Linked DNA regions of Xenopus tropicalis. The protein of the gene in region 2 binds, or shares a complex with, the protein of the main gene of each other region. Links are inferred from orthologs where the notes say so. Each region holds a gene or a part of one and is shown on either strand. Other genes may lie near its edges.

The links.
Region 1: the proteins of tnpo3 (region 2) and srsf1 are in contact, whole or in part, in a crystal structure (PDB 4C0O), measured with the Homo sapiens proteins. The link is inferred for Xenopus tropicalis from reciprocal best matches to the Homo sapiens genes TNPO3 and SRSF1. Residues at the interface, in NP_036602.1 of Homo sapiens: His155, Arg157, Arg160, Thr167, Tyr254, Ile256, Glu257, Glu304, Glu340, Ile341, Phe343, Asn344, Tyr347, Arg348, Glu351, His352, Lys355, Thr356, Arg620, Asn656, Glu660, Arg661, Arg664, Arg667, Phe668, Arg671, Ser698, Cys699, Tyr702, Ile706; in NP_008855.1 of Homo sapiens: Ser116, Arg117, Arg118, Ser133, Trp134, Gln135, Lys138, Asp139, Arg142, Glu143, Gly145, Asp146, Cys148, Tyr149, Ala150, Asp151, Val152, Tyr153, Arg154, Val172, Arg173, Asp176, Asn177, Arg181, His183, Tyr189, Ile190, Arg191, Arg198, Pro200.
Region 3: the proteins of tnpo3 (region 2) and cirbp are in contact, whole or in part, in a crystal structure (PDB 8CMK), measured with the Homo sapiens proteins. The link is inferred for Xenopus tropicalis from reciprocal best matches to the Homo sapiens genes TNPO3 and CIRBP. Residues at the interface, in NP_036602.1 of Homo sapiens: Arg620, Glu660, Arg661, Cys663, Arg664, Arg667, Phe668, Arg671, Ser698, Cys699, Tyr702, Ser705, Ile706, Asp709, Glu710, Asp747, Asp750, Asp751, Arg754, Arg758; in NP_001271.1 of Homo sapiens: Tyr160, Arg161, Ser163, Tyr164, Asp165, Ser166, Tyr167, Ala168.
Region 4: the proteins of tnpo3 (region 2) and cpsf6 are in contact, whole or in part, in a crystal structure (PDB 6GX9), measured with the Homo sapiens proteins. The link is inferred for Xenopus tropicalis from reciprocal best matches to the Homo sapiens genes TNPO3 and CPSF6. Residues at the interface, in NP_036602.1 of Homo sapiens: Arg620, Asn656, Arg657, Glu660, Arg661, Arg664, Arg667, Phe668, Arg671, Ser698, Cys699, Tyr702, Ile706, Asp709, Asp747, Asp750, Asp751, Arg754, Arg758, Gln761, Cys793, Arg797; in NP_008938.2 of Homo sapiens: Tyr521, Arg522, Glu523, Arg524, Ser525, Glu527, Arg528.

Annotation. Positions count from the first base shown.
Region 1 is NC_030678.2:76,103,172-76,107,974, forward strand, and holds the start of srsf1 (serine/arginine-rich splicing factor 1), read left to right. Parts: upstream 1-1,911; 5' UTR 1,912-2,165; coding exon 2,166-2,359; intron 2,360-3,340; coding exon 3,341-3,582; intron 3,583-4,409; coding exon 4,410-4,582; intron 4,583-4,803. UniProt on the Homo sapiens protein: Plays a role in preventing exon skipping, ensuring the accuracy of splicing and regulating alternative splicing.
Region 2 is NC_030679.2:87,749,025-87,753,136, reverse strand, and holds part of tnpo3 (transportin-3), read left to right. Parts: intron 1-1,199; coding exon 1,200-1,338; intron 1,339-2,026; coding exon 2,027-2,173; intron 2,174-2,467; coding exon 2,468-2,575; intron 2,576-3,199; coding exon 3,200-3,291; intron 3,292-4,112. UniProt on the Homo sapiens protein: Importin, which transports target proteins into the nucleus. Specifically mediates the nuclear import of splicing factor serine/arginine (SR) proteins, such as RBM4, SFRS1 and SFRS2, by recognizing phosphorylated SR domains.
Region 3 is NC_030677.2:99,957,219-99,962,106, reverse strand, and holds the start of cirbp (cold-inducible RNA-binding protein), read left to right. Parts: upstream 1-1,693; 5' UTR 1,694-1,748; intron 1,749-2,301; 5' UTR 2,302-2,309; coding exon 2,310-2,412; intron 2,413-2,514; coding exon 2,515-2,621; intron 2,622-3,094; coding exon 3,095-3,215; intron 3,216-3,844; coding exon 3,845-3,938; intron 3,939-4,022; coding exon 4,023-4,084; intron 4,085-4,337; coding exon 4,338-4,351; 3' UTR 4,352-4,888. UniProt on the Homo sapiens protein: Cold-inducible mRNA binding protein that plays a protective role in the genotoxic stress response by stabilizing transcripts of genes involved in cell survival. Acts as a translational activator.
Region 4 is NC_030679.2:58,921,492-58,926,247, reverse strand, and holds the start of cpsf6 (cleavage and polyadenylation specificity factor subunit 6), read left to right. Parts: upstream 1-1,460; 5' UTR 1,461-1,578; coding exon 1,579-1,638; intron 1,639-4,207; coding exon 4,208-4,417; intron 4,418-4,756. UniProt on the Homo sapiens protein: Component of the cleavage factor Im (CFIm) complex that functions as an activator of the pre-mRNA 3'-end cleavage and polyadenylation processing required for the maturation of pre-mRNA into functional mRNAs.

The DNA.
Region 1 (4,803 bases), on a different chromosome or scaffold from region 2:
ACCAGGGGTGGCAAAAAAAGATCTTAAAAAATAAAAAGTAACAAAGGAAAACTATATCCCCAATCACTGTAGGTCTCTATAAAATGTATTGCATAAACACCCTTGTGTAAAACCCTGCTTCATCTAAATAAACGATTTTTATAAAAATATACTTTATAGTAGTATGTGCTATTGGGTACTCCTAAATAGAAAGTTGCCATTTTAAGAATTAAGGGCCGCCTCCTGTGATCATAGGATTCACAGTGCACACAAACAAGTCAAGGAAAATATGCATGCTGGGCCCCATCAGCCAATTAATGAACAAAGTTCTGCCTTCTTCCTGTTACAGTTAGAGCTGCATTATTTCTGGTCATGTGATCTCTGAGGGCGCACACAGCCCATCACTAAATTGTGGATCAAGGAAAAGGATTTAAAAGGGCAATATTTACTGATATATATATATATATATATATATATATATATATTCCAGTTTGGCGAGATTCTTTAATAGGTCACTCTGCATAATATAAACTATCTGTTGGTTAAGTATTCATTCTGGGGGTATAGTTTTTCTTTAAAGAGATGAAATTCTGAGCGCTATTTCTCTCTCTACAATACCGATGTGGGGGGAAGCATCAACTTGCACACCTATTCATGACAGTACCCCTTGCCCCCTTTGTTCCACTGTCGGAAGTGACCTCTCAAAAGCTATATTAAATTTGTTCAAAGAAATTTTTGTTTGCTAAAAGGCATACATTTTCGAGTATTTTTCTGTTATGGATTTTTTTTACATTCCAGCATCAGTTTCTTAAATACTTTTGCACTTTTTGAAGTGCTTTTCCACTTCAGCCCAGGGTTGCACTCCCTACTCTGTAAAGCGCTGGGCAATATATAAATGTACGTATAACTTTATTTATAAAGCGTTAGAAGGGTACACAGCGCTATACAATCTTACAATATACACAATTACACACAGGGAGGACAACTGTTATAATAAATACAAGAAGTATAAATACACAGATTGAGCGCCATGTGGTGTGAGAGAGTAGGAAGGAGGTCCCTGCCCCATAGAGCTTACAATTTCACTGCCCAATCTAAGCTCGACTAAAATAAAACAAACAAATATGCACAAGGCCCAAACAGGAGTGTAATGTAAGGCATGTATTTATTATCAACACATAAATATTTGTAGAGTGTAAGCTCTTTTGGGCAGGGCCCTCTTCACCTCTTGTATCGGTTATTGATTGCTTTATATGCTACTCTGTATGTCCAATGTATAAAACCCTTTTATTGTACAGCGCTGCAGAATATGTTGGCGCTTTATAAATAAATGTTAATAATAATAAATAGGACAAAGTCTTCCCAACCTTGTTTGCAATATTACCCTGACAGCAGTTACAAAGTATTGAATTGCAGTGCTACTTTAATGGGGAAACCATTGAGAGTGGACCACAGAGACCTTATCCGCACACCCTAACACTCCAAAAAAAATTTTGTACGGTGCACACTGCTAGAGGGATCGGCACCCTCCAAATACACTGTAACAACAAAAAAAGCAATTGGCACTCAGGACTACAAACAAGGGTAAAACCCTTTTAAAAGTTTTATTGCGGAAACCATTGAGAGCACACCTGTAGTTAATGATTTTCATACTCATAATGAATGTCACTGCAGATAAAGAGCTAACAGCCTCCGACCATGGTTCTATAATACAAAACCACCTAACAACAGCCATGGCGCACGACGAGTAACAAAACATTTTTCAAACAACACCCACTGCCCTCCCCCACTATGGGCGCGCATTTCCTGGACGGACGTGACGTCAAGCACAGGGTATAGAAAGCCCCCCTATCACATACAGAGAAGCAGCTTGAGCTCAGGTTTCTAGTATAAATATTACCTCAGTGAATAGATTCTTTCTTAGGGCCGTAATTGGCACATAGCTTTAGGAACATTGCATCGTGAAGACGTGGAAACGAGAGGCTCTATATTGTCTCGGCGTAAGATTACCTTTGTTGAGGACGCACCACTGCGAGTTCTTAGTATCCTTGCGCGGCTAAAGCAAGGGAGGAAGTAACTCCGCCATCTTGTCCAAGCTCTGAAGCGCGCATCGAAGGTCTGTTTGGCTTCCAACTCCATTTCTTTTTCTTCTCAATCCGTCTCCCTTTAAATCCATCAAGCTGGATATGTCAGGGGGCGGCGTGATTAGGGGGCCGGCGGGTAACAACGATTGCCGTATCTATGTTGGCAATCTGCCGCCAGACATCCGCACCAAGGACATTGAGGACGTTTTCTACAAGTATGGGGCCATTCGGGACATAGACCTAAAGAACCGCAGAGGGGGCCCGCCATTCGCCTTTGTGGAATTCGAAGATCCAAGGTAATCCCTGTGTAAATGTTTTTGCTTTGGCCTATCGTGCTAATGGGCTCGCCTAGTGTTAACTGGTGAATAACTACAATATACCTTGAGTGTATCCGGGGGCGGGGTGGTGGTACTGCGACTTTATTTCTGCTGTAGTTGATAAAATGTCGTCCGCTGTTGTATTAGAGTTTATATATAGTCGAGGAGGCCAGTGAGGGGGGGAATTAGGCCTGATTATGGTGCAGGTTATGTTTCAACATCGGTGCGTTGTATCATTATTCAAGTTAATATATTTAGCCTATAATCCCTACAGAGTGGCGCCAGAATGAGGTATTATACACTCATTGTGTATCGCCATTAGCACGTGTAAATCCCTATTTATTACCGCCTTTAGGCAACAGCGCCCCCTGTGTGTGGGACCGAATAGCGCTTCCGCTCTTTGTTCTGCAGCCCTGCACCATGCTTACTAGTGTGTTAAGGGAAGGCATTCTAACAAGCAAATGTGCTTTGGGTTATTTATTGACCTGTTTGCTTTAAAGCCGCTGCCTCATGTCTCTGCTATAAAGCATGCAATTAGGCTCACTGCACTTATTCAACCAGAACTCCTAACACCTTTTATGTAGGCTGCTTGGAGAAGTGCAGTATTGATATTCAATAGCAACACTACAAAATGAATAATGGGTGTTTAAGCATCTGCACTATATGCACATATGTAAAGTATTGGTGAAAATGTACTGTTTAAATGTAAATACAAAAGCTTTTGTGTAGTCATGGGGGCAGCCATTCATGTCTAAAAGACTGTTAAGATACAATGGCTTGCTTACACAGAATTAATCTGGGGTCATGTGTCGTTTGTAGCTCTATACATGACTGTAATAAAGTTTTCTCATTTACAGCCAAGAAAGTTTTCCAGGATATGTAATTACCATTGTAGGTGAATATTCTCTTCTTAACCTGGCATTCTTTAACTAAAGCAATTCTTACCTTGGTTTCTCTTAGGGATGCAGAAGATGCTGTCTATGGTAGAGATGGCTATGATTATGATGGCTATCGCTTGCGTGTTGAGTTTCCAAGAAGTGGGCGAGGAGCTGGAGGCAGAGGTGGTGGTGGTGGTGGCGGCGGCGGAGGAGGAGGTGGTGGAGGCGGCGGCGGCGGTGGTGGTGGTGGCGGCGGAGGAGGAGCTCCCCGAGGGAGATATGGACCTCCATCAAGACGTTCAGAATACAGAGTGGTTGTGTCAGGTAAGAGTTCTATCAGGTGGCAGGTTTAAAAACCAAAGTAAAAACATCAGTTGCAAAGTTTTAGAGGAATAATGCCCATCAGGTTTTTACAAGCAGCGTTATTTCACATGTATACAATAATGAGTTGGACACAGTTATGCATACATTCTAAAGTATTATGCATTCTATACCAGTGGATATGACTGACCATTAATGTATACAAACAGAACTACTAGTATATCTCCCTTTAACTTTAGTTCAGTTAACGGCTTGCATCAGCTTAACAGAACTTAAGCAACTCTCTGCTTGGTCCTTGCAAGGTAGATAATTGTATTACAGTTCACACACAATTCTCCTGCATAATGGACTTCAAACCATGCAGTCACAAGAAAAGGGAAGGATAGGGTATTGTCTTCAAACAAGATATTAAATGGCCCTGTCTGGTTGCTCAGGATGCTATCTGGACTATGAAAACTTGCACATGTTGCTATGTTACCTTCAGTTCAAACATGAAGCACTGCAACAAATTTACCTTTAAAACGTACTAAATGTAAACCCCTGAGTTATTTTAGCAGAATTGGGCTGTTGTGAGTCTCGCTGGAAGCATGGTTCAGATTAAAACAATGGGTTTTCCCCAGGATGCTGTGTTCATTTAAGCAATACAGCTGTCTTTGGACTGTTTTAATGCTCCATGCATTGCTGTATAACCAGCATAGATACCTACTCTTGGAATTTTGGCACTAGAAGTTCATAAACCATTTTAAATTTCCACCATTTGCATGCTTTTAATTATGTATAAAACTGCTTTTGATACCAAATTTGACACTCTGATAACTTTATATTTCTAGGGTTGCCTCCAAGTGGCAGCTGGCAGGATTTAAAGGATCACATGCGTGAAGCAGGTGATGTATGTTATGCCGATGTGTTCCGAGATGGTACTGGAGTTGTGGAGTTTGTGAGGAAAGAAGATATGACATATGCAGTACGGAAGCTGGATAACACTAAATTTAGGTCTCATGAGGTAAATACTAAATTGTTTAGTAGTTTGTGTTAAGTTTTTCTCTACCTATTGTGACTAGCAGTATCTGTTTTACATGACCTCTGAAGCCAATAGTGATGTTGGCCAAATACATAAGGTGCCAAAAGATATGGGAATTTTAAATTTTCTGTATAATGTACTATAGTTGCTTGACTTTTATCGTTCTTTGATGTGCCTAAGTTCATAAGATATTGAAGATTGGC
Region 2 (4,112 bases):
AGATTTTGATTGGGCACCATTGAAGGCGCTTGAGCAAAATCTACCTTCAGGGCTCAATCGGCAGAAGGAGGTAGAAATCCTATTGTTTCTATGTCCATGTGGATGTGGGAGATCATGTGGCTTCTACATCACATTATTTCATTTTGGTTATGGGAAAATCTGTTTTTACTACAGATTACACAGTACTGTAGGATCTTCTGCCTGGGATGACCTTCTTTTATGATTTTACTACTGCAGTTGTATTCTCACTGTACTTTATCATCTGTATTTAAGAAGCATTTTGCCTAGTTAGCAAGCATTAAACTGTGGAGCAATGTAAAAATGTAAAAAATGTAACATGTTATCCAGAATGCTCAGGACCTGGAGTTTTCCGGATAAGGGATCTTTCCTTAATTTGGATCCCCATACCTTAAGTCTACACAAATTAATTTAAAGGTTAATTAAAGCCAATAGAATCTTTTTTTTTTTTTTTTTATTTTAGTTTGAATCAAGTACAAGGTACTGTTTTATTTTTACAGAGAAACTAAAATAATTTTAAATAATTTGTTTTAAATGGACTGTATGGGAGATGAGCTTCCCCTTAGTTGGAGCTTTCTGGATAATTGGTTTCCAGATAATGGATCCCCTACCTGTATATGTGAATATACATAGACTGGGAAGACCAAAGTTAAACCCTGCTGCCTTGGTTTTAAAGCTTCATGGAAATCTCCACATAATCATTCTGCTGAGCCAGCCATTTGGAAGTGCTTAGTGCACATTCCTTTCATGACAGCTGACTAGAGTTTCTTGCAGTCTGCACTGCGCTGTTAGTGTGTGTCAGTAAATGCTGTGGTTAAATGGGTTAAAATGTGGTTAAAAATACTAATGCTCTTTCTGGAAATGAATGGTCAGCTTAAACTGCTTTGATGTGTAATGACTATGTATGTATATAGACCGTTATAGAGATCTGATGCAGTAGGTCAGGCAGACTGTTCATGACCATGCATGTTCTAGTGTAAACTGTACAAACGCTTAACCTAATAAATGCATTTGAATTTCTTGACATTGCAACCTGGATCTGCTACCTTCTGTGAAATCATCTAGATTTTCTGCCTCCAGCCAAGCAGGCTGATTACTTGTTGTACTTCCTTTTGTGCACTACCCTCAAACTCTTTGTGTTTTTACAATTTATGTGGCTAATTGCTCTTTGTTTTTATCAGGGTGCTGAATTATTGTCGGATTTTTACTGAACTATGTGAAACCTTCTTAGAGAAGATTGTGACAACACCATGTCGTGATCTGGGAGACTTGAGGACCCTAGAGCTTCTCCTGATTTGTGCGGGACACCCTCAGTATGAGGTGCATTGGTTTTTTTACTTGGAACAAAGAATTCTATTAATATAAAGTTGGTCATCAGGCCTTACTTGAAATAATATGAAGTTTTTTGGACATGCAAACCCAAAGACTGCACCAATAATTTTTAGTCTTTTTTGTCCCCAATTATCTCTTATTATTCTTTGTACTAAGTATGCCAAAGTAGGCAGAACATGGGATCATTTGAAAGAAAGAGAATTTAAATAGAAGTCCAGGAATGCCAGGCTAGTGTTTAAATTGCCACCTTTTAGGTTTAAAAGGAGCGTCCCTGAATCCTTTTTTTCTTTTAAGAATGTGTAGATACAACCGCTTCAGGCATATACGTTGAGGACAAATGAAGGGCTATGGCCAAGGTGCACCCCAGTCTGGTATTAGACTAGGGGTCTGACAGATGTAAGAAAAAAAAAGACAGATAGGTCTGTCTTTTGTTAAGGGCAACCTGTAAAGCTACTTTCTGAGTTTTATACATGGCAGGAAGCACGGTTACCACATGGTCCTGTTTCCCCTGAAATTAAATTGAGAGAGACTTGGTTACATTATTACCTCTCCACTTTCTCCTTGTTTCATTCTAACCACTTTTTGTACTATACTTATTACAGACCTTTCTAGCATAAACTAATTGTACAGTATGTACAAACATAATTTACACCTTTACTCCATCTTTTTTTCACAGGTAGTTGAAATCTCCTTCAATTTTTGGTATAGACTGGGAGAGCACTTGTACAAAATGACTGATGCTGTCATACACGGTATCTTCAAACCCTTTATTCAGAGGCTTCTCCATGCTTTGGCAAGACACTGCCAGCTTGAACCTGACCATGTGAGTTCTGTACTTATCCTTCTGCTCTCTATGAAGTAATGGGGCTTTATAGAATGATTTTCCACATTAAATAATGGAAAGCTAAGTCATTTTATGTTTTAACTGTGCAAATAATGTTCATACAGGGGCTTTGTAAACTTCCCAGTTCCTGCTGATGTAGTTATGAGTAACTCAAATTGCTTTTGTCTCCTTCCCCTTTATCTATTACTTCTTTTATGAAGTCCACACTTTTTTTTGCTGTCTTACTTAAATTGTAAGTGATTTTAACTTTTTATTTTTCCTACTTAACAACAGGAGGGTGTCCCTGAGGAAACAGATGACTTTGGCGAATTCCGTTTGCGAGTATCTGACTTGGTTAAAGATTTAATCTATCTGGTGGGCTCCATGGAATGTTTCTCCCAGGTTTGTGTTCCCTAACTAACCTACTATTACTAATTTTCTCTTGGAGGGGTGGAGTGATGGGTAGTTTTAAATTAAAAAATATTATGACACAGAAATGAATGCCAGCTTTGAAAAAATTAAGATCTATACTGGTCTGCATAGCAGCTCCTAAGTGGGGATATTGAAAATGCACAATGTAGCTTCCAGCAAAACACTTCAATATATGTATTATTTCTATGAGCTCTAATGGGTTTACCTTTGGAAGGTGCTTATATTTTAGGCAATGCCATATGGGGCTAATTGTCTGATTCTTAGCAGAAGGCTGATGCTAGTGGAGGTGCTGCTTCCCGGCCTACATTTATCCACACTTTTATCGCACTGCATCTTGTGGACAGCTGCACCAGAGTACAACAGAAGGGATATCTGGGAGGGTTTACTTCGACTTCTTAATACTACTGTTGTCTTAATACAAATCAAATAAGACAAGTTTGGGAGATTTTCAATGGCCCTTTAATAGTCCATATAGTCATAAATAGTCATTATGCCAGTTACCGATATTGCTTAAGCATTTGAAAGTACTTCTGAACAGTGAATTAGATCTGTGCTTGTGGCTTTTGCCTGATGGTTCCCTGTCTCTCCTCGCAGCTCTATTCTACTCTAAAAGATGGAAATCCACCTTGGGAAGTGACAGAAGCTGTGCTGTTTATTATGGCAGCCATTGCTAAGAGTATTGATCCGTAAGTGGCATTTCTATCCACAGTGTGTTCCAACTGAGGACATGCAATTTCTATGCACTAGACAGTCCTTTTCTCTAAGTTTGTGTGACCTGTCACGTAACCGCTGAACTATTGCTGTTCATAGATGTGCCCCTACATAATCACCTTATTTACAGTTGACCAGAGCAGCTCTATCAGGATAGATTTATGACAAACTGACTTGTTGAAACCGTTGCATCCTATGATGTTGAAAGCCACTGAGATCATCAGTACTGCCTATTCTTTTGCCACTGTATGTTGCTGGGTGTGGCTTATATAGCCAGTTTCTCTAATTAGATGGAGTGTTGGGATACTTTAAACTCCCTTTCTTTGAACGTAAAATAAAAATTCATCGATTTGTTAAGGATTTTTATACTCTGTGTCAGTTCCATATTTCACAAATCCACCCCCTTGCTTTTATTTGTATTGTTCCCTGCATGTCTTTAACTCCTTTCTCCACCTTACAACTTGGGCCCTTCTCTTTCATTTCCAAAAGTGTTTTCTTGTATTAGAATTTACCATTATTGTAATTTAGTTTGCACCTGTAACAGTAAAGTCATTTTTTTATAACAGTTGATACAAGAAAAATTCAATGACAGTAAACCACTTTATGATTTATTAAAGTGGTTTATTGTAATTGAATTATTTTTGTATCAATTGGTTTAAAAAAGATTGTTTTTTTTATTTTTGGGTTTATGTATTTTAACTGGCTTAAAGGAAAAGTAACACTAAAAATTTTCAAGTAAAAAATCTACCCTGCCCCAATAATTGCCCTATCCTGCACACCATTTATTATTTTGAAT
Region 3 (4,888 bases), on a different chromosome or scaffold from region 2:
TTAATAAACAAGGCTCTTACAATTGTTTTTGACAGGTATTTGTGCTTTGTACAGGTTGGGTATACAAAATGTGAATACGTTGTGATATTTGGCCACATGTTTGGCAATATATGAGTATTTAACCTCCTAAATCTTTGGGACTATTGCCCAGATTTTTAAGAGCTGTGAGAACATGTAGTCCCAAATCAGACTTTGCCCCTATACATCCACAGTTTAGGGATCATCCATTGAACCAATTTTCTGTTTTAGCCTGATGCAATTTTACCATTTGTTAAGCCAAATCACTAAGTAGCAAGCAAATCACACTACACAGAAAATATTTTATATGTTGCCAGTTTAATGTCATGAAAGTGTAGCTGCACTTTATAATTGTATGTGTGTGTGTGTGTGTAAAAATGTTTCTTCTGTCCCTGACCTGGAAGCAACAAAGACCACAATAGTGACAGGGGCATATGAGGAAGGAATATATTTAAACCAGTGAAAACTGGGTTTAATCTTTTTATTACCACGTTTGGGGGCAGGGTGGCTCTGTGACTGAAAACTTTGTGTACAAGATTATAAAACAGTAGTAGTGCAATACTTGAAAAATATAGTGCGTAATAATCAATGATAGTAGTATATACATAGGGTTTATAAAAGTTTACATGCACAATAACTTTAAAAGGCTGCATACCCCAAGTTTGGGATTAGATATATCCTCACCTATTAAAACGATGTTAAATATAAGTATTTTAAGCATAACCATAATACGTTCAATAACGATAATTATCACCTCTTTTTTTATCAGAATGTACTGTAGGAAAGCAGGGGTGGAAGGGAGATTTGCAAAACGAAATCTAACAGGCATTTTGATGAAAGTCGAGCACCGGGATTGCTATTTTTTTTCCTTTATAAACACCTTTAACTTATGTTCTTGCAATTAAACATAAAAACTATTCGTAAAGACGCCATTCGTTCTGTTATAGGTATAAAGAACGGAGCACCGTTTGCAACAGGGTAATGCATACAGTAACAATCAACTTTCCAGCAACCCTTTTCTGAACCTCCGGCGCCTTTGATTCCGGCGCCATTAGCTCGGCATTGGAATTGCCAAACGCCACTCCTAAACGCTTTAAGAAAATGTCAAGATTGGTTTCGAATAATAACTAAACATTAATGTTACCCGGTATAGCGTTAAAATAATATCATTAATTAGGATATCCGAACACCATTTTAAACAAAAAAAACCCACGATTCATAGCCGAGTTTTAACATGTGCCACCCAGCCCTAAAATGGCGCCTAAGCTCTCTCCTTGTTCTTTGTTCAAACGCGCAACGCAGTAACAAAGAGATCCTCCCAGCGACAATATTCAGCCAATACCAGCAAATAAATCCCAAGAAGCGGTCAGGCGACTGGATCGTCAATTCTAATATGACTCCTCCTCTGAGAAGCGTCCATTGGTATGAAATTATTGTACACTATGGTTATAGTTTAAGAAAATGAACAAAAATAAACACATCATGTGGTAATAGTTTTTAACTAACCACTGCAATACAAATAGTGAACTCTTTATTCATCCGCATTGCTCTGAATGATCTTTTTTCAATATCGCGCTATCAACCAAATGGTGTCGCCCGAACTGGAACTAAATAAATTATTCATGATGTGGGCGGGGTTATTCCTGGTATAAATGACCAAGTTCCGGCGTGAATTGCGCACTTCGCATTCGGCTTCCAACTTGTGTTGTATCGTCCGAAGATCATAGAACGTAAGTGGGGTTTTTCCTTTTTCTTCTGGTTTCAGCGTGTGAATTGTGGAGGTTAGCTCATGTGTCAATTGTTGCCCAATACATTGTAGGTATTCTGTATACGTGGTCACATTTAGTAGTTTAAAACTCCTCGTTCTACAACGCCTCAAATACCGTGTCATACTCGCGCCTTCGCGGCAAAACTGGCACGAATCTACATGTGGCTTAAATTAATTTATTGGAAGGTTCTTATTTAATTTATTGGAAGGCTCTTACTTTCTTCGTAGTGCTAGTCGAAGAGCTGTATATGAGCACAATTCATTATTTGGCGCGTAGTTTTTTTTTTTGTTTAATAAAACAATGAAACTGTCGACTGAAGAGTCGATGTAAAAATCCTAGCGATTGTGCGTGTAGATGGCGAAATAAATCCCTCACACGTTACCGTAAGTGACGTCATCCATGGGCTGAATTCCCGCCTTCTATTGTGCTACTGCGGCAAGGCTCGGATCTCTACCACGTGGTGGCGGCCATATTGGAAAGCGCTTCATGTGGCTTTGTCGTCTTTCTTTATTAGGTCTCACCATGTCTTGTGATGAAGGAAAACTCTTTGTCGGTGGTCTGAATTTTGAAACCACAGAGGAAAGCTTGGAGCAAGTGTTTAGCAAATATGGACAGGTTGCTGAAGGTATGTGTGGGCCTTTTTTTATTTTTTAAAATTAGTTCTTAAGCAGTTTTTTTTTCTTTTTTTTTTTTTTCTTCCTCCTTCTAAAGCAATGTGTATTTTCAGTGGTTGTGGTGAAGGATCGGGAAAGCAAGAGATCCAGAGGCTTTGGCTTTGTCACATTTGAGAATCCTGAAGATGCCAAGGATGCTATGATGGCAATGAATGGGAAGGTAAATGCACACATAGTAACAAATCCTTTTAGGTGTAAAGAGCAAATCTGATTCACTGTCTTTAGTTTATAACTGCCAGGTGGTTGGTGTTTATTGCTGGGATATGTAACACACTTTGTAGTGGCATATTGTCCTTGGTATTTGCATTCTACCACTAGATGCTCACTGTATTAATTAATAATGCTATGAAGGCACTAGGTAACCGCCTTGCATTTTGCAACCTCTAGGTAAACTGCCTTTCTTGAACTGTGAAGGCCCTTTAATTTACTTATTAATTTCAATTACTGTTTTGGCTTAGAATAACATGTTCTAAAAAGGTGTATAGTTATAAATCATGACTAAACAAAGCACAAAGACAAGTGTAATTCAGTGAACAGTACACTGACTTAAATGGCTAAAAATGTCCATTAAACATTAAATCTGACAATATGGCTTCTTTATAACTTTTTTAAATTCTTTTTTTTTATATATAGTCTGTAGATGGCCGTCAAATCCGTGTTGATCAGGCTGGCAAGTCCTCCAATGATAGGAGAGGTGGTTACAGAGGTGGCTCTTCTGGAGGCAGAGGGTTCTTCCGTGGAGGCAGAGGCCGAGGTTGGTATACATACTTTAGTGACATTGCAATATAGACTTGGAATATAAATGTTCTGGTAAACTTTTCCATAATACAAAGGGAAGAGTTAGCTCCCAGTAGATCTCAGAATAACAATTAATAAGAAGAAAGTCTAGCTTTGCACTAGTTACATGGGAGTAGGGGAAACAGGTTACTTGAAAGCAGCTCTAGTGTAGTGCTGGCTCCTGAAAGCTCAGAATCGGGCACAATGCACAGAGATGGCTGCCTACACACTAATAGTACAACTTTTATTTTTCCTTGAGTGAATTTTAGATGGTGGTTCATTTGCTATGTAGACAGTAATTTAGAAATAAGGTATACCATAAGAATCATGACTATATTGGTTAACCTTTCCCGGTAGACAAATTGCAGACGGACATTCCCGTCCCTACCCATTTGAATTAACTATAAGGATACTTTTTGTAGCGGCTTTTAAAGGGTATGTCAACCCTCATAAAAGGCATTATTGCCTGATAGAGAACCATAATTTGTTATTTTTGGTTAGGTTAACATGCCCTATAACCTGGGCTTTTATCTCTTTCCTGCACTAGAGTTGGGACAGGTTAACATTCGTGTAGTTTTATAAAACACAAGAACTTTTTTTGTGCAGGTGGTGGTGGAGACAGAGGATATGGTGGAAGCAGCCGCTTTGAAAACAGAAGTGGAGGTTACCAAAGCAGTGGATCCAGGGATTACTATGGCAGGTAAGTTTTGTGAATGCTCTGTAAGACTTCATTCTATTTTGATATTTGTTCTCCTGACAATGGCCTGTGTCTCTCTTGTGGCAGGAGTCATGGAAGCTATGGTGATCGTTCCGGAGGATCCTACAGGGATAGTTATGACAGCTATAGTAAGTATGTGGGGAAGTTACTAGAGAGGAGGGTGGAAAGGGTGGTACGTCAGTTGTGATCTTCGTGTTCCATCCAGTGATGGCTCTTAACTTCTCAATTTCTCAATTTGCCTCTAATGCATGTGTTGGTTCTGTCCTGGCTACAGGCAATAAGTGTTGGGTAGACATAGCTGGGAAGGGTATGTAGTACCAGTTTAGGGGAGGTGATGCTGGAATCTGTGCCTTTACAACTGTGCCTGCTTCTTGTCCTCAGCTACACAAGAGTAAAATCCATTCCTGACTCAAGATCGTCCTTCCAATGGCTGTATTTATAAAGATTTTTGGAGCTTCGCCGAATCGTTTGTGTAGTATATCTACTTGTGTTCACTTTTTTTTTTAATAGACCTAGTTAGCCTGACAGCTTCTCTAATAAGTGGGACAGCTGTGTTTCAAAGGCTTTATCTTTGGACACCTAATCTCATTCTTAAAGTTACTGTGTTCTGCAAGGATATTCCTATCCTACTATGCTGTTCCATTCAAGCTGATCAGGTGGGGCTGCTCCCCCTTCTGGTTAAGTAGTGCTAGGAAGTAACTTCCTAAGCGGATGGGTGCTGTTGGTTGATGGGCAGAGAAGCACCTGTATTAGTAGCAGACTGCTAGGCCTGTCTTCCTGTAGCATTGTTTAAAGAACTTTAAGCTGCTGTATTTTTTGGTTACATGAAAAGTTAATTTTATGAGTCCACTTAAATTGCATTCCTTTAGTGTAACAAGGCAAGGCAGAGCTTGGGTGCGCTGTATATAGTGGCTACACCTCCTTGATACACA
Region 4 (4,756 bases), about 29 Mb from region 2:
TAAATTTAAACAAAGAAGATTCCCATAATGCCTCGCTCCTGCACCAAGACCAAGACCGGTGTACATATGCAGTGTGTAAGACTATGAGGAAGCTTTCTGCTGATTGGCTCAGATCACACATTCCTAAGGGGGGGAGGGAGTTCTTAGCATTCTTGAGGGAGGGGGGAGCAGGAGAGGGGAGAGAGGAGAGAGCTGCGTGTCTGTGGCACAGGAAATCAAAGAGACAAGAAATCCTGTATCTTTTTATAGAGGACTCAGTGCAGCGTTTCCGTGAGTGCTTATGGCTGTATTTACATAGACCTACCTGATAAAGCTTACTTAGTTTTTACCTTTTCTTCTCTTTTAATTTATTATTACAGAAACAAACAAATAAATGAATTAGTATTTTATTATTAGGATTGAATTTACTCATTGGGCAGAATATAGTTAGGGTTGCCTTCCATGTGGTTTTGAACAGTTTTTGAGAGGGCTGTCTAGTTCAAAAGGTCTTTCTAGAAATCCAATTGCATCTAAGTGATGCCATAACCTTGCTTTGGTGTCATAATCCCACTGACATAATTTTGCCCACTTCTGATGTCATCATGCCCATGTCCAACATCACTGCCCCACCCCCTTTGTTGCAGTTTAGCCTCTGACAAAGGTGGCAACCTTAGTAGGCATTGTCTGTATAGACACCATTTGCTGTATCTGTCCATTTGTTTTAAAGTTGGCAATGAAATGGATGAGCCCCCACCCCCCTGACCTCCAGCAATGGAAACAACTTGTTAACACTAGACTCCCACTTATTAAACTAACATACCTTGCCAGGGGTTGCCCTAGCAAATTCTAGAGAATATGGCGTCTATACAGACAATGCCTACTAAGGTTGCCACCTTTGTCAGAGGCTAAACCTCAACAAAGGGGGCGGGGCAGTGATGTTTGACATGGGCATGATGACATCAGAAGTGGGCACAATTATGTCAGTGGGATTATGACACCAAAGCAAGGTTATGGCATCACTTAGATGCAACTGGATTTCTAGAGAGACCTTTTGAACTAGACAATCCTCTCAAAAACTGTAAGAAGCTCAACCAGAAGCGAGTCCCACAGTATAACCCTGAGACTTTTACACCAAAGGTCTCCCCCAAATCACAGGCCTTATCCAAACTACTTAGGCCACACCGACTGTATCTAGCTGACCCTGCTACTGTATACTTTCTCCATGGTCATAGCACTAATTATTGTATATGCTATTGTGCTGGTTTTATGTTTCTGTTTGTAAAGAAAATAATAAAAACCTTTAAAAAATGTTTTTCATATATCTTCATAACACGGTGTTCTGACGAGAATATGAATTTGACTTGGGGCAAGTTTCTATTCACCTTCAGCCATATCTTTCTAATGCTGCTGCTCATTGTTCGCGTTCCAACGAGTTTGTACAATACAAATTATACTATGTGAAAAAAAACGCGCGCAACTAGCTGGTTCAGTATCCAGTAGAGGAAGTGACGCGCCCGTTCCCGCCTTCCCCCTCCCGACCCACTCCTCCCAGCTCGCACCGCCTCCGTGACTGCCTAGCGCTGCCGCTCCAGGCGGAAGATGGCGGACGGAGTGGATCATATCGATATCTACGCAGATGTGGGCGAGGAATTTAATCAGGTATCGCGAGTGGGAAATATGGGTGCAGCAAGTGGTTGTCATGCTGGTGCGAGTCGTCTGTGTGTGCTTGGGCCGCCTCCCGACTTCTCGCAGATAAAAGAAGCGCCTGTTTGTTTTGTTATTATTTGTAGGCCTATGTATGCTATCAAGTCTTTAAAGCATTTCTTTTACCCTGGAGATTCGCAAAATTTGTACAGAGGCGGGCAAGCCGAACCCGGCCACACAGCCTTCTGCACTTTCTTTGTGTAGGCCGCGTGTGCCGGGGCCTTGAGTTCCACGGAACTTCAGTCTAGTGCCATTGCCCAGAGCCCTGCTGGATTAGTTATGTGTGGGTTACGGGGGCTCTAGACTAAAACAGTAGTTGTTGGGATTTTCTTTTTCTTAGAGACTGTGGGAAGACGAGCTTTTACGGACTACAACAATTGTTCACCCCTTCAAATACCACTCTATTTTAAAAAATTGTTCTAAGCTACTAGGGTTGTTTGGAAAGACTAATGAAAAACCTTCACAACTGTTATCATAATTGCTTCCCCCCCCCCCCCCAAATAAATCTACTTATCCATTGGTCGAAATAGAGAATATAATAGGCTGTAACATACATGGGGCCCTGGAGCATCTCGCCGGCAGCTGCTAGGTACCACTGTCTTTATTTTGGGGGGTACAAGAAAATAGGTACCATACATAATGTAATAAAATGCATCTGCTGTCATTTTCCAAACTATTCTTTATAGAAAAATGTACACTTTTCTAATATCATAAAACGGTGTACTTTTCCTATCTGTCTTGAATTGAGAGAGACAGCACAGCAATCATTTACTTGTAAATGTAGAACTATACAGTTGCAGTTTCACATAATGGATAAAAAATTAAATGCCAATGGTTGAAGGGAAAAAAAACTGAAAATGTGGTTTGTTCAACCTTTAATAACAGGTTTATACTGGTATCTTTAATATCCTTCAGCTATAAATACACCATCTCTAGATTAGCAAATGAATGCAGGATGTCAATATCTGGTATAGGCAGTAGTGGCCCCATTGCTGATATACGTCAGACTTTCTCCATATTTAAATTAGAAGTGAATTTCAGCTAATTGACTATTTAAAGCACAAAAAAGTATTGGCAAATCCATTACTATTTATATTAGATCTAATGCTTTTATTTTTCATGGAAATTTACCCTAGTTATGTTCTATATTATTCATTAAAACACATTTTCTGTACCACAGGGATAAAATCAACATTTGTTTCTTTTTTAGAGCAGCAAGGTATTGAAAGATTCTTGTTATACAGGGGGGGGGGGCTGGTGGAGGAAATAATCAAATATCAATTTCTTAAATTAAAATGTGTTCCCCTTTTTTTTGGTTGAGGACTGAAACAATATTCAGATGCTTGTAAAATAAGCTGTCAGAAATAATGTAGCTGTTGTTTTCTTATCTTTGTAGACTTCCAAACCTCCTTGGATTTTTGCAATGTTGGGGTGTTAGTGCAGAGGCATATACAGAACTGTGTTACACATGGAACTGCCTCTTGTGACTGTCAAAGCATCAGAAAATATTTTAAATGCTGTAGAACAGGGGTCCCCAACCTTTTTTACCCGTGAGCCACATTCAAATGTAAAATGTCAGGGAGCAACACAAGCATAAAAAGGTTTCTGGGGGTGCCAAATATGGGCAGTAAATGGCTAATCTGGTAGCCTCTAAAGCTGGCCATACATGCACCGATAATATCGTACGAAACCTCGTTTTGTACGATATTCGGTGCGTGTATGGTAAGTCAGCGAGTCGACCGATATCGCAGGAGGCTGCTGATATTGGTCGACGCGCCGATCGGCCAGGTTAAAAGATTTTGATCGAGCGCCATAGAAGGCGCCTGAGCAAAATCTGCCTTCAGGGCTGAATCGGCAGCCTTATTTGCTGTTTCAGCCCTGAACGGTTAATGGCTGATTGAACAGCATTACATTATATAGTAATTACTTTTATACACTTTCATTTTTTGGTGTTACTGTCCCTTTAAAGTTCCGATGATAAGGCACCCAATCAAAATTTTCAGTCCTGCGCGATTGACAAGGCAACCAATATCTTAAGGCATTTACTGATATTGGTTGCTGTGTCTCCCACCATGCATGTGCCGATTATTATACAACAAAGTTTCCTTTACACTTTAGTTGTTGAGGGGGGATTTTATGTTTTTGTCCCCATTGCTATAGTCACAAATATCCAAAGGTGCAAATTATGGAGATCACTCGCATTGCCAATGTCCTTTTTTTCAGGCAAAAAACCAAATGTTCCATTAAGAATTGTTGTGTTTATCTGAACAACACAGCAAAACATCTTTGCTTGTAAGTGCATTCCTAGTCCATACATATTTATCTAAAACCAGTAATTGATTTGCCTTTGAAAGAATCATTAGGTGAACAATGTATTCTTTAAAAATTGACATGTATAATAAAGTGGAGAATGCATCAATATGTTAAAATTTGTAAATTAATAATAATAATTAAGGCCCTGATCCAGGCAACAGGCAGCTGCTTGAAGAGGTATGAACATTCATATTTTTTGTTTGTATTAAAGGAAGCAGAATATGGTGCACATGAGCAAATTGAACTCTATGAGGATGTCATCTCACCATCTGCAAACAATGGAGATGCTCCTGAGGACCGCGACTATATGGATAATCTAGCAACTTCTGTTGGAGATGATGTAGTGAAAGGATCTGTTCCTAATATTGTGTATACCTATACTGGTAAACGAATAGCACTCTACATTGGAAATCTAACATGGGTAAGTAAAGGCATAACAATAACATTTTTCTGCTCCTATTGTGTAGTTTATGTTGATTTCATGCTGCACAAGGTGTTTTGACCACTGCACAAGAAAACAACCACCACTAAAAATATGCTGTCTGCATTTATTTTATTCCTGTGAAAGGCATATATCTGCCTTTATCTACACTTCAACAGTGTGTCCTATATCTTTGTTGAATCTGATTGACAGTTTCATATAAACTACATTAATATATGAACTCAAGTGTTTGGGGCAAAATCTGCCTGCACACTTTAAAAAATTCCGTATTCTTTATAGAACATCATTATTTCTTATCTTGGAAAATGTGAGAAAAGT